Linked DNA regions of Drosophila melanogaster. The protein of the gene in region 4 interacts with the protein of the main gene of each other region in a pairwise test. Each region holds a gene or a part of one and is shown on either strand. Other genes may lie near its edges.

Region 1 (4,359 bases), 3.9 Mb from region 4:
CTCCCGGTGATAAGCGCAAATAGACAAAACAAACAAAAACTTGCTAACAATTATAAATGATTATATCGCTTTTTGGAGCGTTCACTTCGGACAGTTCTTTAACAGTATATATTGTCTTCGCTTTAGCTACTAAACGCATAAGCCAAACTGAACGCTTTTTCCCATATTGATTCGCTCGATCGTTCGAACTTCGCAGCCAAGTTAAAGGAAGGGTACATGTGTTGTATATGATTCAGACAAACTTGACCAGATGTAAGAAATCACATCTTCTACGTATGTAAAAACAAGCTTTGTCAGCCGGGCGGTTACTGTGCGGATTCATTGTCAAGAATCTTAGTGACTCAGCAGCGGCGAGGGCCTAAGGGATTTAGTAAACGCATTAACACATTCATTTGTTCCACCTTCGTAACTAGCACCTGCAATCAAAACTGACACCACCAATTTGGATAGCAATGAATGATCACTACAGCTTTTCTGTACAATATACTAAATAGTTAAACTTCACCCACAGCCGAGGGTATTATTTATTTACAGAGGCAACTTTTTAATTTATAAAAAAGGTAACGTATAAATTCAAAGGTGTGGAAGCATATACATATATAAATCCTTTATCTTCTATATCAATGTTATATCTACGCAAGGACATGGCGGATTTTTCACAAATTATTTTCCAGGGCTAGTCAGCGTCAGCGTTTTAATGTACATTTATTTTCCGGCCATTAAACAGTGTACTTTAACAATAAATTTAGCTTTGTTATCTGCAGACAATTAAAAATTTTTGTCCACCTAAATTAGGTGGTGATGTGAGCGTCTTGAAAGTGCAAGAGGTAAAACAATTAACTTAAAACAAACCATAACTCGTAGAAAATAAGTGGCCCTACAGTTGAATCCAATTACTTCTAGACAACGCTACCACCACTATCGCCGCGTTGACGTGTGATTACAGCGTCCCTTCGCTCCGCTGGTGGCACTGGCCTCTGCTCGGGCAGCCTTTCCTGCCGCGCCGCTGCTGCCGAGTTATTGTTGCGGTGCATGAAGTTCCGAATATTTTCCTCAGTGTAGTCCACAATTCGGCGCTTCTTGCGGCGGCCGTACTGTTTCTGCTTCAAATAAATTTTCAGAATTCCCTTGACCGTTATAAAGGTCAGACCTCCAAGCAGAGTACGATGCAATGTGTTATCAACCGTGTCAAAGAGAATACGTCCCACGATCGACGATATGGTGGGCAGCAAGAGAGCGCCGCAGAAGACCCTCGTGGCTGAGACAGGGTCAGAGAGAGCCGGTGTGGCCGGATTGCTGATGCTTTGCTGTTCCTCTTCCTGGCTGCTGCTTAAATGTAAAGTAATAAAAGTCTGCTAACCCTGACATTGTTGATGCACTTACAGGTTCGGATAAATAAGGCTTACAAAAGGAAACTTCCGCACCACCGTCCCGCGGTTTCGAATAAGACGCAACAATGCATCCTCCCAGCGAATCAATCGACCAAGCACAAGCCCCACTGGAATAGCCGGCAACCCAATAAGGAGAACGAGCGGATCTCCAGACTCCATTATGGACATGCCGTGCTCATGTCCGACAATCTACAGACAATTAATTCTCTTAGCATGACAACTGATTAAAAATGATAGGTTGTACCTGTAAAAATGTGACTGCTCCGTAAGTTACTGCTGTCCAGTAGAGGGAGCCCACGAAGAAACCAGCCGCCAGGAAGGGGCTCAGGCGCTTGATGAGGTTATCTATTGCCTCTAAAGCACCTCCAAGCTTGCCCATCTGCGGGAACACTATGATGTACTCCGTTTGGCACTGCGGACACGATACAGTGCGTAGAGCGTTACCCTTCTGGGTTTTTTCATCGATCCAGCGGTAGAGGCAGCTCTGGTGCACCCACTTGGTGGTGCCGCGGCACTGACAGGGCTTCACCCACGCCGCCAGACGGTTGTCCTCATCGGTGGCGAAGCAGATCCAGCAGCAGCGTTCCGGCTCCCCCCCATCGACGGCCACTTGGACGGCAGTGGAAGTGGAAGCGTCCGTGGCTTTGTTCGCTGAAGCAGGTGGAACGGTCAGCGTGGTGTGATCCTCCACGGCTGGTATTGCAGGCGTCGCACAGTCCACAGATGGCGCCGCACAGTCCACAGAGGGCGCTGCAGCTTTGTCGGCCATTTCGCTGAAAGTATAACACAATGTCCTATGTTTATCGATGCACAGAGGCCCAACCTTAAGGTCCTGCTTACTTTGCTCTCACTCGGCTTTGTTGTGCGGTGATTGGCCTTTTCGGTTAAAGGTTGTGGCTTTAATTCTGAGCGTTTCTCAACTTTACTCTTATTTTGGGTGGTTCAACGAAAATAAAACTAACTAAATAAACCCAATCTGATTTATTCTACCAGGGCACTTTCAATGATTTTTCGGACGGACCAGATCTCAGATTGTATTTTCCAGGTCGACGCTAACTTACCCTTGTGCTGGTCACACTTATATCGCAACATAAATATTTTTTTGGGATTTCGTCGTATTATTTTTAAGCCGTCGATTCCAGAAGGACAAGTTAGATACATTGTATAATTTTTAAAAACGATTGACCTACTTACGAAATATTCACACGTATTCGAATTCTACTACCTAGTCCACTACTGACTTAAAATATACATAATTTAAATTTGGAAAAACAACTTTTCTGAATTCTTCCGCCAATACAGAATAACACAAAAACGGAGGGAAATGAGAACAAATTATACTACACCTAAATAAGGGATTCTGCTTTTATGTTACAAGCCGGGTTGATCCCGCATATTCAATGTCGACTTTCGATGCTGGTTATTTATTTTTGGAAATACAAATGTTATAAAATTATAAAACTTTTCAAATATTTCAATTAATTAATTTTTCTTTACAATTTTTTCCCATTTTAATTGCATCCTCGAAATGTCGACTATGGGATGTATCGCGATGTATTTTCACGTTGTGACGAAGCGCACCCGGATATTGTGCGTAGGAGGCAAGCACTACAAAAGCACAAAAATCCAATTACCAGTTCAAAAGATATTCCCAAAACAAGATTTTTGAGAACTTGTCATAGTGATTTTTGTTTGAATAACTATTTTTTTATAATTTGCATAATCAAGACCATACGCTTATTTAAAATTATTTAGCATACAGCAATTTAAAGTTATAACAAAATAGCCCGATGATTTTGTGGCAAAGAACTTCATTGACTTTGAGCAACCAAAAAGACCAGCAACAAAGGATCCCTCTTCGGTATGCTTCATTAATGCATACATGCTATTCCAGTTCGTTATTCTCGTTTTGCCGCCTCAGGGTCGTGTCATGATCGTCCGCATCATCTTCCTCAAAGCCCGCCATAAGGCGATTGAATATGTCACCAAACATTCCGCCCAACCCGGGCGGGCCAGAATGAGCAGCCTCCGGATGCTCGTCGAAATACAGCACCCCAATCTTGGCTACGTACTTTAGAAAAGACGTGTCGCGCTTTAGGGATGGATCGTAAAGCTTGCGTAAGGCCCGAAACCCAGCCACACGCTTCGCGTCAATAAGACGGAATAGGAAGTACAAGAAGTTGACCAGCGGTTCCTTATAGGGGAACTCATGCTTAAGCAGCTTGGCGTGGTAGCGTGTGTACTCAGTGAACGTGTCCTCTGCAGTTTTCCGATCCTTAAGGGATAGCTGCTGCAGCACAGCTTGTACCAGAAACAAGTCCATCTCGCCCTGGAAGCCCCTGCTCTGGCTGATTTCAATTAGCACTCGCCCACATAGGCTGCCATCCTGGCAGAGTAGATAGTGGTGACGAGCCGACTCAATGTTGCCCTCGGTCCAAAACACGTGCGCAATTAACTTATGGAGCACTGGGTGGCCATACTGGCCATGCAAGGCCGTGCTCCACTTAATGGTCCGTTGCTAAAGGAAAAAAAATTTCATTGCCGGTATAAGTCGCGTTTAATAATGTCAAAGACTCACAATAAGGGTTTCGCGCTCTACAGTCGCGGAGTTAAGGCCGCGGATCAAAGCCCCTAGGCGTGGAACCCACAGGAAGTTGTCGGTATCTTCCGCCTGTGGTCCTCGCTTCTCTAACGTGTCCACCAGAAGGAGACATAGGTCCGCGGCGCTGCTTTCCTGTTCCTTGGCAATAAGCTGCTGTGCTCCATCAAAGAGCAGTTCCAGGCAGTCCTGATAGCGTTTCTGCGCCGTATACCTAAGGAATCGAATTTCTTATTGGATTGCATTTCCTTGCACGGATTATACAAATAGTCTACCGAAAATACAGCGTCCTATACATCATGTGCGCTTCATAGAATTCTCCTCCTGCCAGAGACTGGGACAACTTGGCAAGTACTCGGCTGACACCGC
Region 2 (4,775 bases), 3.8 Mb from region 4:
TGACGTCATTTTCAGAATTAAAGGGTATATATGTAGATTCGTTGAAAAGAAAGAAATTTAAAGCGGTTATGGTAGTCCGATCTTAGCGTAAAAGATCAAGCGATTACATACCAAGACTTTGAGAAAAGTAAAAAAAAATTTGGCTGAGCCCCACTACCAAACATATGTTAAAATTAAATTGGAACCTTTTGGGCGTCTTGTTCGTCCCTTAAAAAGCATTTTTTGAAATACTTTACCTAAGCCCATAATTTGTGCTACATGTCATTAAAAACGCGTTTGCAAATGATTATTTGCTTTTCACAATTGTTTTGTCTCAAACAACAGATTAAAATGTAATACCCATTACCCGTAGAGTCAAAGGGTAGACTATAGGTAGGCAGTTTATGTTCTTTTCTGACTCGATAAAGAACATATTACTTCATCAGGACCAATAGACCGTATAAACGTCAAGATCTCTCTTGTTTTTTTTTTTACGATGATCGTTGAACGCTCGGCTGTGCAAAAGTGCAGAAACGTACCAAACAATCGAAAAAATCAAATAACAATACAGATTGCCACTGACTTAATGTACAAATGGGCCAGTACTTAATAGACGCGTACTAATTTTTGGCAAACAAATCCGCTAACAGGCGGCGACAGCTGGGCTGTACAGGCTAATATTTAAGCCCCTCTTGACCTTGTCGGCTCTCGACTCTTGCCGCATCAGCCGGACAGGGCGCGATGTTAGCCAAGTTGACATAACTTAATGCATCATAATGCACCGGCGTATTTGGAGCTGGAGCTGCGACGGAGACTATCGGCACTTCAGGCTAGTGTTAGCGTTAGATAATAATAACTATTTCCCAGCTCACTTTGGCACGCGCCCTTTGATGCGTTGTGACCAAACACTGAACCCTGACCAATTATCAATTGTATTATTACTACCAAGTATCCGAATTTCGTTTACAAGGAATGAACTTTGGAGAATTAAAAAAACTGTTGGAAAAAAACTATTAATTCAGGCAAAAGCTGCGAGTAACGACCGCTATAAAAATAAAACCCCTATTTTCTTAAATACTATCGATTTGGAACATATAATTGTAGGATAATTAGACAATAAATCTTAAGTCACCCCATATTTTGCGAAAACTCTTTCATCATGTTCCAAGCAATTCTTAATTGTTGGTCATACGGTTGGCCCAAAGTTTCGAATAAGGCCGTATATCTGTGCGTATCCATGATTATAAGCCAGATCACCTACACGGGCAGGAATCGTACGCCTCGTAATTAACATGGATGATTTAACGCTGTGAAAGGCCAGGTATCGGGGCTGTTCGGAAGTTCACTCCATGTAATATTTACTCGCTGGCAGTGTGCGATTGCTATTGCGACGGTAGCCACACTTGAACCTTGCCTGCGCCGCTGACATCAGACAAAAAAAAACAAGGTTCGGGTTCAGATTTGGGTCTTGGGTTCGGGATCTCCGGATCTGAATCGAGTCGCATCATTCCCGGTGTCCGGGAATAGCCAAGAGCCAATCAGGCCATTTGCCATCTTCGTGCACTGCACTTGACGCTCGGCGGCGGAAAGTTTTCGCACTGCACTCGGTCGGTGCTTGCCGCTGACCGTAACGTTTCCACCGCAGCCGCTGCGCTGCCAGTGGCGTTCTTCCCTGCGCTGGCGCTCGCGGTTGCGCCTGCGCCTCCGCTTCGTCGGCGTCGCGCGATCCGCGTTTAATTAGCCGCGCGGCGCGATCGCGGCTCAGTTTTCATTCAGAAGTCAAGCGCGCGCTAATCGCAGACGCAGTCACCGATCCCGTGTGCGAAAGCCGAAAGCCAAGAGCCAAAAGCTATTGCGAAAGTAATCATTTTACAAAGTTCTTTGGCAACACTTTGTGAAATAGTTCGGGCCGCGCAATTTGTGTGTTGTGGTTTTTGCAGTTTTTAGTTTTCAGATTTCGGTTGCCAGCGATTTACCAACCGAGCTGCTGCTGGCCGCCTTCCGTTGCGGATTTCGAGCTGTTTGCAAGTGGTAAGCTGTAAGTTGTTCGCACATGTGATTTTTGTTTTTCGCTCTTTTGCAACTGCGCGGCGCTTGGTCCGTTCACAATAAGCATTTTGGACGGCGCTCTCCACGCCAAAACACCTCCCCGCTCTGGCCAATCTGCCCGGCTATAAGGCGCAGATCGTCCGAGCTAATCGATTTGACTGGCCAATCGGGCTGTTCGATCCGGTGTTTCCAATGGTGTGGCAACCCTGCCATTTGGCGGTTGCACAAAATCAGCTTGCGTGGGGCATTTGATTCCCAGCGAGGATCCGATGCTGAGGACCTCTGGAGAATCCTCGACGTGTGGTCGCAGGCGGGATTCCGGCGGGATTTAGCCCTGGCCTGACTGGCAGCGCAGCGGCAGACCACGAACAGCTGGGCGGATTTGTATGCTGTTTGAGCAGCTGTTCTGGTTTCTGGACTGTTGACTCCCAATATACCGATAGGTTTTGTTTTGCTGACCCCTCGAGATAATGCATAAGAATTAGCCAGCATCGTAAAGCTTTTCACCGTTGACATTGGGTCCAAAGTAGCAGAAGCGCAATTAGTGCGCCCTTCGCGAATAATTGCCAGAGTTTTTCTTGCACTAAAAATATACAAAATGGTAATCCAAGGCAACTCGAAACAAGTGCGGAAACGATTCGCACAAAACCGGATCTGCAATGACCCGATTTTGGCCTTGGACTTGTCGCAGGGCATCCTGATCGTGGCAAAAAGTTTCCTTGAGTGTTTCCCAGTCAGGCGAGGTGGTCGAACGAAAACCGCTTCTGGGACCGACTTTCGAGGTCTTGTGACTTACTGATCGATAATGGGATAATGGTAGTGAATGGCTCCAGATCGACGATCGCTTCCGCGTTGGCTGTAATTGGACATCATAAATTGAACCGCCCAGAAGGGCTTGCTCATTGTTCTTACCCGGACTGGAGCCACTCAGGCGCTCCTCGGCGGATGCCACTAAGGTGGCAAATACTTTCAAACAGTAAGCTGGGATTTCGCTTTCCGTATTTACATATGCAAACCATTTGGGTTTTTTTCGCGCTCACCGTTCTTCAAATGCCACGCACGTAGCCGCGTTTCCAGCGAATTTACAGGCTACACGCCAATCCCCTGAGATCGCAGATCCGAGATCTGAGGCCCGACTCTCAAGAAGCCTCAAGAAGCCTCAGCCAAAACTTACCCAAACATTAAATCGCTCAACGCTCGCCGGCGTGGCCGCAGCTCTGGCTCACACCGCTTACTCTCTACTTATAAATAATTTAAACACAAAAGTTTGTTTGTCTAGAAGAGGATCTCGCTTCCACATCGAATAGCGCAATGGGGCGTGCTAACAACTGCGATTTGCGGAAGCCAAGTGTTAGGAAAAGAGCCGTAAACGTTTACATTTACGTGAAAGTATACCTTTATATGTATACTATTGTTTGCTATTATGTTTGCTATTGAATGCATTACAAACGGTTTAAATGTATTGATAAATACAAAATAGAAGGGCATACACTTTTGTCTGACTCCCATTATATATATATATATATGCATATGCATATATATGCATATATATACTTCTACCGACCATAAAAGCCACTAACCGATAGATAGGCCGCCGCTTGAATACCAAAATGTCTTGGGCAGTTTTCGAATATTTTAAACAATTACTACATTACAGTTAAGCGCCAATAACAATACCCGTACAATTCCTGGATTAAAGCAAGATTTCGTATCTTAATCTGGTAGCAATCCAGTTTGTACAATACGAACATTTTGTATATAAACTTTATAAAAAACACCTCCAAATATGTGGGATTAAAGTGACGATGACACTTCTCAAGTCCTAAAATGGCAATTAGTTAAACTTTTTTTTAACAAATTTTGCAGACAAACACATTTTGGAAAATGTCATTCAAATCTTGTTTTATAAATACAAGAATTATAACTAGAATTGCTCCCCCTTCTTCCTAGCTAATCATCATTCAACAAGAGATTTAAATCATCAAAAGATTATTCGATCACGATATACATAAATGGCTCTGATCAGACTCTCGGTTCTCATCGTCACTACGTAAACTGCCATCCACAGCGATGTTAGGGGACTTTACTTGGGATAAGCACACGTACCTACTTATAATGTCAATTGGAAGACAGCGTTTTGCAGTGACTAATGAAAACAATTAACAGAATTTCGTCCGCCTATGTCTGCGACGTGTACGGCATTAAAAATATTCCAGAAGCAACAACACTATCAGCCACATCTCCGCACTTTAGACAGAAGATACTCACAACTTGTTCATGACACTAAAACAAGTTGAGACATCACCTAGCTTGCACTTCGGTTTGCATTACCTTAGTTCTGCTTTGAGTTTCAACTTCCCCGATTTGATTCGACAAACTGGAGTAACTAGCGTAACTAGACTTACTCTACTCTAACTAGAGTTTACAACAGCAGTCTTTGAAACCCCGGGAAATTAGTTAAATAGCTTGTCAGTAAATTGACTTAATTAGTGAGCCGAAGCGCGAACAGCAAAACGAAAAGGAGCTGCAATATGCCCAATAAGACTAACATTTAGAAGAACACCACAAATTGATCGTTATAAGAAACTTCCGTTTCAGAAATATAAGTCCAATACCATGGTTAAGTATTCCTTATGGTTTTCGAGACTAGGGTACATTCCTTATAAATTCCTAATTAATTATTATACACAATACTTGTAGGGTAGACCTGAACTTGAAATGTATTTGATAGAAAGCATATCTTCGAC
Region 3 (3,254 bases), on a different chromosome or scaffold from region 4:
TCTGAGCGCCACGAGCAGTGGACTCCACGGCTCGGTCATTCCGGCCAATCAGCGAGCGGCCAGTGTTTTGGCCGCCATCAAGAGCGATAAGTCAGTGAGTCCCGGTTCAGCGGGTGGCAGTGGCAGTGGTGGTCAGGGATCGGTTGCGCTGCCAAACCCCTCTGCTCCCGCCACTCCGGGCAGCAGCTCGTTGCCCTGCGACTCAAACTCCAATGCCCTAATGCTGGCCGAGGGCATCAGCTTCGGCAGTGTTCCAGCCAATCTCTGCACATTCCTGATCCAGCGCGCTTGCACGAACGCCACGCTGGCCAACTACTTCTACTGGTACTTGTCCATCGAGGTGGAGGAAGTGGAGTCGGTGAGGAAGCAGGACGAGAGGGCCCACGACATGTACGCCATGGTGCTCAAGATGTTTCTGAAGGTGCTAGAGAACGGTGGGTGTAATTTAACGAAATCATGGCTCATTCTCTAATTCCCTAATTCTCTAATCCGCTCATCCGCACAGGCAACTTCAACCTGAGAGGCATCTTCTACAACCTCCGGAAGCAGCGGCGCTTCATCGACGAGCTGGTCAAACTGGTGAAACTGGTGGCCAAGGAGCCGGGAAATCGCAATAAGAAGACTGAGAAGTTCCAGAAACTGTTGGCCGAACAGGACATGTTCAAGGTGAACTTCACCAACTTCGAGCCCATTCCGTTTCCCCTGGATCCGGAGATCTACATCACCAAGATCGTGCCCATGCGCACATCGCTCTTCAAGAGCGCCCTGATGCCAGCCAAGTACGCCATGACCAACCAACAAACTCTACTCACTCACTGAATACTTCAATCCTAATCCTTAATCCTATTCGCAGGCTCACCTTTGTCACTTCGATTGCCCATCACGAGTACGCGGCCATTTTCAAGCACGGTGATGATCTGCGCCAGGATCAGCTCATCCTGCAGATGATAACTTTGATGGACAAGCTGCTGAGGCGCGAGAACCTCGACCTGAAGCTGACTCCCTACAAAGTGCTGGCCACCAGCTCCAAGCACGGCTTCCTCCAGTACGTCGACTCCTGCACCGTGGCGGAGGTGCTGGCGCGGGAGGGCAACATCCACAACTTCTTCCGCAAGCATCATCCGTGCGACAATGGACCCTACGGCATTTCGGCGGAGGTCATGGACACCTACATCAAGAGCTGCGCGGGCTACTGTGTGATCACCTATTTGCTGGGTGAGACTAAAGGAGTGTAACCAGGTGGATTCCGCTAATCCTTGGAATTTCCTCGCAGGTGTGGGCGACCGGCACTTGGACAACCTCTTGCTGACCACCAACGGCAAGCTCTTCCACATCGATTTCGGCTACATTCTGGGACGCGATCCCAAGCCCATGCCGCCGCCAATGAAGCTGAGCAAGGAAATGGTGGAGGCCATGGGCGGCATCAGCTCCGAGCATCACCACGAGTTCCGCAAGCAGTGCTACACGGCGTACCTGCACTTGCGGCGGCATGCCAACGTGATGCTCAACCTGTTCTCTCTGATGGTGGACGCCACTGTGCCGGATATCGCTCTCGAGCCCGACAAGGCGGTCAAGAAGGTGGAGGAGAACCTGCAGCTGGGCCTCACAGACGAGGAGGCAGTGCAGCACTTGCAGAGCCTCCTGGACGTGTCCATTACGGCGGTGATGCCGGCTCTGGTGGAGCAGATTCATCGGTTCACCCAATACTGGCGGAAGTAGAGGACATTGCTTGCACAAGAAATTGTGGGAGGAGCGAGTAATCCTAGTTCGGTTCAGCTGAGTTGTTTAACATCAAAAGTGTACATTAGATTAATACCTTATACTTATCAATACTTATTAATATTATTTATCCTTTAAATCCTAGTCGTAAGTTTGCTTTAGTCGTAGGTGGCCTGTAGCTAAAAGTCCGTTGTGCGGAACCAAATGTATCCACATATACTATATATCTTGTCACAATTGTAGTATAACCATTTAATCGGGCAAACATGCAGGTGCGCTCCAAGAAGCCCGTTTGGTTCCTGTTCAAGATGATGGAGCTGCTGCTGAGCCTGGGCTGCTGCCTCGTCCATTGGACCTGCTTCATGGAGGAGGGTGTGCCGCACATCTTCCTGCTGTGCGGAACGTACGGCGGCTCGGTGATCATATGCTTCATATCACTGATTGGAGCTTTCTACGCCGAGCGGCCGACGATGAAGCACGAGGCGCTGTTCGGTGGGATCTTGGGTGGCCTGCACATGGTCACCGTGTACGCCAACATGTATGTGGCCACTTTGGAGGAGTTCCGCACTGAGCGCTGGCCCAGCTTCTATGCGTGCTGTCGGGACAACGCCATTGTGGCTCTGTACGCCGGCGCCATTTATCTGATGCACTGCACCTTCGCTCTGGATCTCATGTTCTCCCACTCACGCAGTCGGGCGAATCAGAAGATGCATCCACAGCGGAGCAAGCGACCACTGCAGCTGTACTTCATCAGCCGGGGCGCGGAGGCCTATCTCAGTCGCTTCTGGTTCTTTCGGCGCATCGCCGCCAGGATGCTGACCAGCGCCCAGCCATCGGAGCATTCCGGCCGGAAGCGGCAGGTCTCGTCCTCCGAGTCGGACTCGGATGCCAAGGAGAGGGAGGAGGAGCGGATTAGGAACTCGGAGGTTTTCAAATAGCTCAAGTAATTAAATATTAACGTTCACCTGCTCGTGTGCTCACTGTAGTTGTGCCTTTTGAAAGCCCGCTGCTGTGCAGCCCTGGCGCCATCAGCTGTTCGCCGCATAACAGCCCCGTCTCTTGGAGCGCGCGCACTTTGACAGCTGTTCGTTTACAGTTCCTTTGGTTCTTGGAAGTTTGTTTGGCGCGCCGCGTGTGATTTTCGTTACTTTTGCCGGAATTGTGTCGATTTTGTGGATTTTTGCATTGGTTTAAGCCTGCGGAGGAGTCCAGCTTTAATGACGATGGCGAACGGTGCGGTGAGTTGCGGGGGGAACGCACTGCGTCGTCCACTTCGCCATTGTGCGGATGCATGGCTGGAAATTTCTGTCTGCAAACTTTTCCGATTTTCATAGTTCGATGCGTGGTGGAAACTTCTGCGGGCGGCGCTCGAGCTCTGGGTCTGTGTGCCTGTGGTTTTAGTTAGTTGCAGGTACTCGTTGCTAAAACTTTTGCTAAAAGTTAGCCGTTGCCACTAAAGTTGCCGCCCGAGGCAACACAAACAAACGAAAAAAAACGAAAAAAAACGGGACTAGCACACTCGCGGCCATGTGCAT
Region 4 (3,059 bases):
GAGAGGTCCTGCTGGAGGAATGAGGGGAGGAGGAGGAAAAGACCGGCCAAAGATGGCATATGTTGCGCCTTGGCTCTATCTCGCTTTGGCCAATGCCCCGCAGTGGGTCCTTTTCGCTGGCTTTCACTCGCACGCCACGCGGCTCGTCCTGCAGACAGCCAGCAACAATAACGATTATTCGGCATTGTGTGAGCAAGACACGCCATTTGGTCGCAGGCGGAAACCTCGATCCTTCAACCTCAAGCATCCCATATTTATATGTACATAGTAGACAACTGCTAGCTAGCTAGCTCCCAGCAGCTAAGAGCGATCCGCTCTTGATTCAGTTACAGTTACCCAAAAGTTCAGCAGTAGCACTTGGAAGCCCACGCAATTAAAGGTGCATCAATCAAAATTAAAGACAATCCGGCAGCGATTTTTAAACGCCATCTAGGCACGTCAGCCGAATTCTGAAAGAAGACGGCCCTTTGATATGCGAATCTTCCGACATGTGTGCATGACAATATCACTTGTGCCAATATGGCTCAAGGTAAAGACTATTAAATTCAAATTAATGCTTAAATCCTGACAAGCAATCGCCAAATATAAACGAACTCCTCTGAATTGTGCTAAAACTCAAACAAAAAGGAATGTGTTCACAATAATAATAGGAAAAATTTTATTTAAAATATTAAAAATGCATAGATTTCTTTAAAAATATATGTAGGATGTTTATTGTTTAGCACAATTGTTTATCTTATTAATATTTTATAGAAGTATAGTTTGCTTATTATATTAGGTATTTAATAAAAAGATGACTCGTGCCAACACTTCTTGATCTCCGGGCATACGACGACTACACAACTTTTCCTTACTCCGGACACGACAACTTTCGGCTTTAAGATCTTTTTTTAATTACACAACCTTCAACTCGCTTTGTTCTACTTCTACTTTAAGCTTGTCCTATTTTCTTACCTTTGCTACCCTTTGCGAAGATTATCGATCATCGCATATCGATAACTATTGTTACATACATATTATTTTGTTTATTAGTACATGTATTAAAATATGGTATTTTTAAAGTTTGGCCAAACGTTTATTTCTATTGATACCATTGGCTGGTAAAAAAGTCTGATAACAAGTTTGGTTCGCGTTAGAACCCATAATTCGTCAGGCAGAAAACTTGTTAAAATGGTGAATCTTGACTTAGAAATGATTTTGGAGACTCTCCTGAACGCGGCGAGGAGGAAAAGGGAAAGGGAACACCTTGAAGGTTCTTCGGAAGGTAAGTTCCGCCAACGGCATATAAACATAAACATAAACATAAACGGTCAACTTACAGAAGGCGAGTATAAAACACTAAACGATTACCTACCTATCATATCAATTGTATTTGAAATGTAGGAGTTATCTACTGGATGTATGAGAAAATTGCGGATTTGACCTTGAGGGTCCTGGCAGAATTGGTTGACTTTGTGAAGGCAGCTATTATAAAAATAGTTGGTGTCGCTACAAATGCTGTGGAGTGTTTCAAGCGTGATTTTACAGTGCAATGTGCCGCATTGGAAGCCTTTGTGGTATTTTTAACCAGTAATTTGGGATTTCAACTGGAAATGTAATTATTCATGCGGTTCAAAAAATTCCATTCCATGCCTGCTAAATCATTGGATGCACTGCCATAAGATTATGATTTCTTTATACTTGGGTTCTGATATCGGGTACTCCTAAAAAAAAGCTTTCAATCTACATATGTACATATGCGAAGCTTGATTGCAATGATAGATTAAAATTGATTTCGATGATTTGGTTTGTATCGAGTAACTCCCCTCCACAGTGGCGGATATACAATTATTGCACTACTGATAACGAAATAACAACGTGATTGTACTCAGTTGTTAGAAAGATCGTCACCGGGAAAGAAGTAAAACTTTGTAACGGAAATATACATAAATTGAAAATATGGATTCAGCCATCTCAGAGATAATCAATGCCCTGGCTATACTGGCCGACGATAAAAATATCCAGTTGACCATCAAGGAGGCCGGCAAGGGAGCTGCAATTTGTGCTGGCGCTGCGCTGATCGGAGGACTACTGCTGGGCCCCCGGGGACTGGCACTGGGCGGGGCCATCGGTGGTCTCACCGCCTACGGACTTACGGAGGGCAAGAGTGTCTAGCGTTACATGGTGACTATCATTCTTATCAGTCTTTTAATTCCAGGAAATTTCAAATCTCTAAGTGAGGTCATTTTGAACGATTTGACGGAGAGTCAGCGTCGAGAACTGGAGCAGCACGTGATCAGGGCCATATCCGAAGTTAGAAATGTACGCGTTCGAGATGTCGCAAGACTAATACTAAATAACCGGCATGTGCAAGAGGTTGCACTCGAAGCAGTCAAGTCCTATATCACTGATCGTATGGGAATGACCATCGTTGATTAGGCATTAATAGAAATATTTTTTAAACTATATTTCTCGATGATTAATGCTATAACACAGAATTTTGCCTGCAACATAAATAAATTGTTGGCGCACTGAATGATTTTATTTTAAAATCTATAGTAAAAACCATTTCAGCTTATAATTTAATAGTCAGTGACTAGCCTTTTCGATGTGCCAGATGTAAAAAGATTGTTTTGCTCAGAGCTCGGCTTTCAATAGACAAGAGTCGCGCGATCTACGTCATCAAAATCCGTCAGATGTCTGGAGGAGCTGAACAGATGTTGGAGTAGGCGGAATTTGTGCAGCTACACTACCAAGGCGATCATCAGCAGGGCAACAACTGTTACAAGCAGTAAAAATAAGATAAAATTCAGAGACTCTTAGTGAAATTGCGGCAAGAGCCGAAATAAAGAGTCGTAGAAATTTCGTTGCTGCACTGTGAACGACGAGAGAGATGTGTGATGCGATGCTTTGGTGTATCTCACGGATGCACAGATACTCGCTTCGGATATTCGCTCAGTGTGCGGTAGGCAGGTCAAAATAATTTTGCTTACTGCGGAAGCGAGAGGAAGAGGAAAAAAACTGGCTGATCTCGATCTCGATCTCCGTCTCTATCTCTTTCTAGGGCCAGCTGTCGCCCA

The links.
Region 1: the proteins of Nazo (region 4) and CG9855 interact in a two-hybrid assay, tested with the Drosophila melanogaster proteins (one large-scale study listed by BioGRID).
Region 2: the proteins of Nazo (region 4) and CG31522 interact in a two-hybrid assay, tested with the Drosophila melanogaster proteins (one large-scale study listed by BioGRID).
Region 3: the proteins of Nazo (region 4) and CG30184 interact in a two-hybrid assay, tested with the Drosophila melanogaster proteins (one large-scale study listed by BioGRID).

Annotation. Positions count from the first base shown.
Region 1 is NT_033777.3:4,395,477-4,399,835, forward strand, and holds CG9855 (uncharacterized protein), read right to left. Parts: upstream 2,400-4,359; 5' UTR 2,232-2,399; intron 2,165-2,231; 5' UTR 2,161-2,164; coding exon 1,636-2,160; exon of another isoform or gene 1,581-1,635; coding exon 1,384-1,580; exon of another isoform or gene 1,327-1,383; coding exon 900-1,326; 3' UTR 503-899; downstream 1-502. Other genes in the region: CG9853 (uncharacterized protein), read right to left, coding at 3,277-3,909, 3,970-4,204, 4,266-4,359.
Region 2 is NT_033777.3:4,459,862-4,464,636, reverse strand, and holds the start of CG31522 (uncharacterized protein), read left to right. Parts: upstream 1-1,753; 5' UTR 1,754-2,010; exon of another isoform or gene 2,011-2,017; intron 2,018-4,775.
Region 3 is NT_033778.4:23,562,094-23,565,347, forward strand, and holds CG30184 (uncharacterized protein), read left to right. Parts: upstream 1-1,879; 5' UTR 1,880-1,985; coding exon 1,986-2,657; 3' UTR 2,658-2,687; downstream 2,688-3,254. Other genes in the region: Pi3K59F (phosphatidylinositol 3-kinase 59F), read left to right, coding at 1-434, 506-779, 854-1,215, 1,274-1,719.
Region 4 is NT_033777.3:8,286,101-8,289,159, forward strand, and holds Nazo (nazo), read left to right. Parts: upstream 1-1,775; 5' UTR 1,776-1,938; coding exon 1,939-2,140; intron 2,141-2,197; coding exon 2,198-2,418; 3' UTR 2,419-2,513; downstream 2,514-3,059.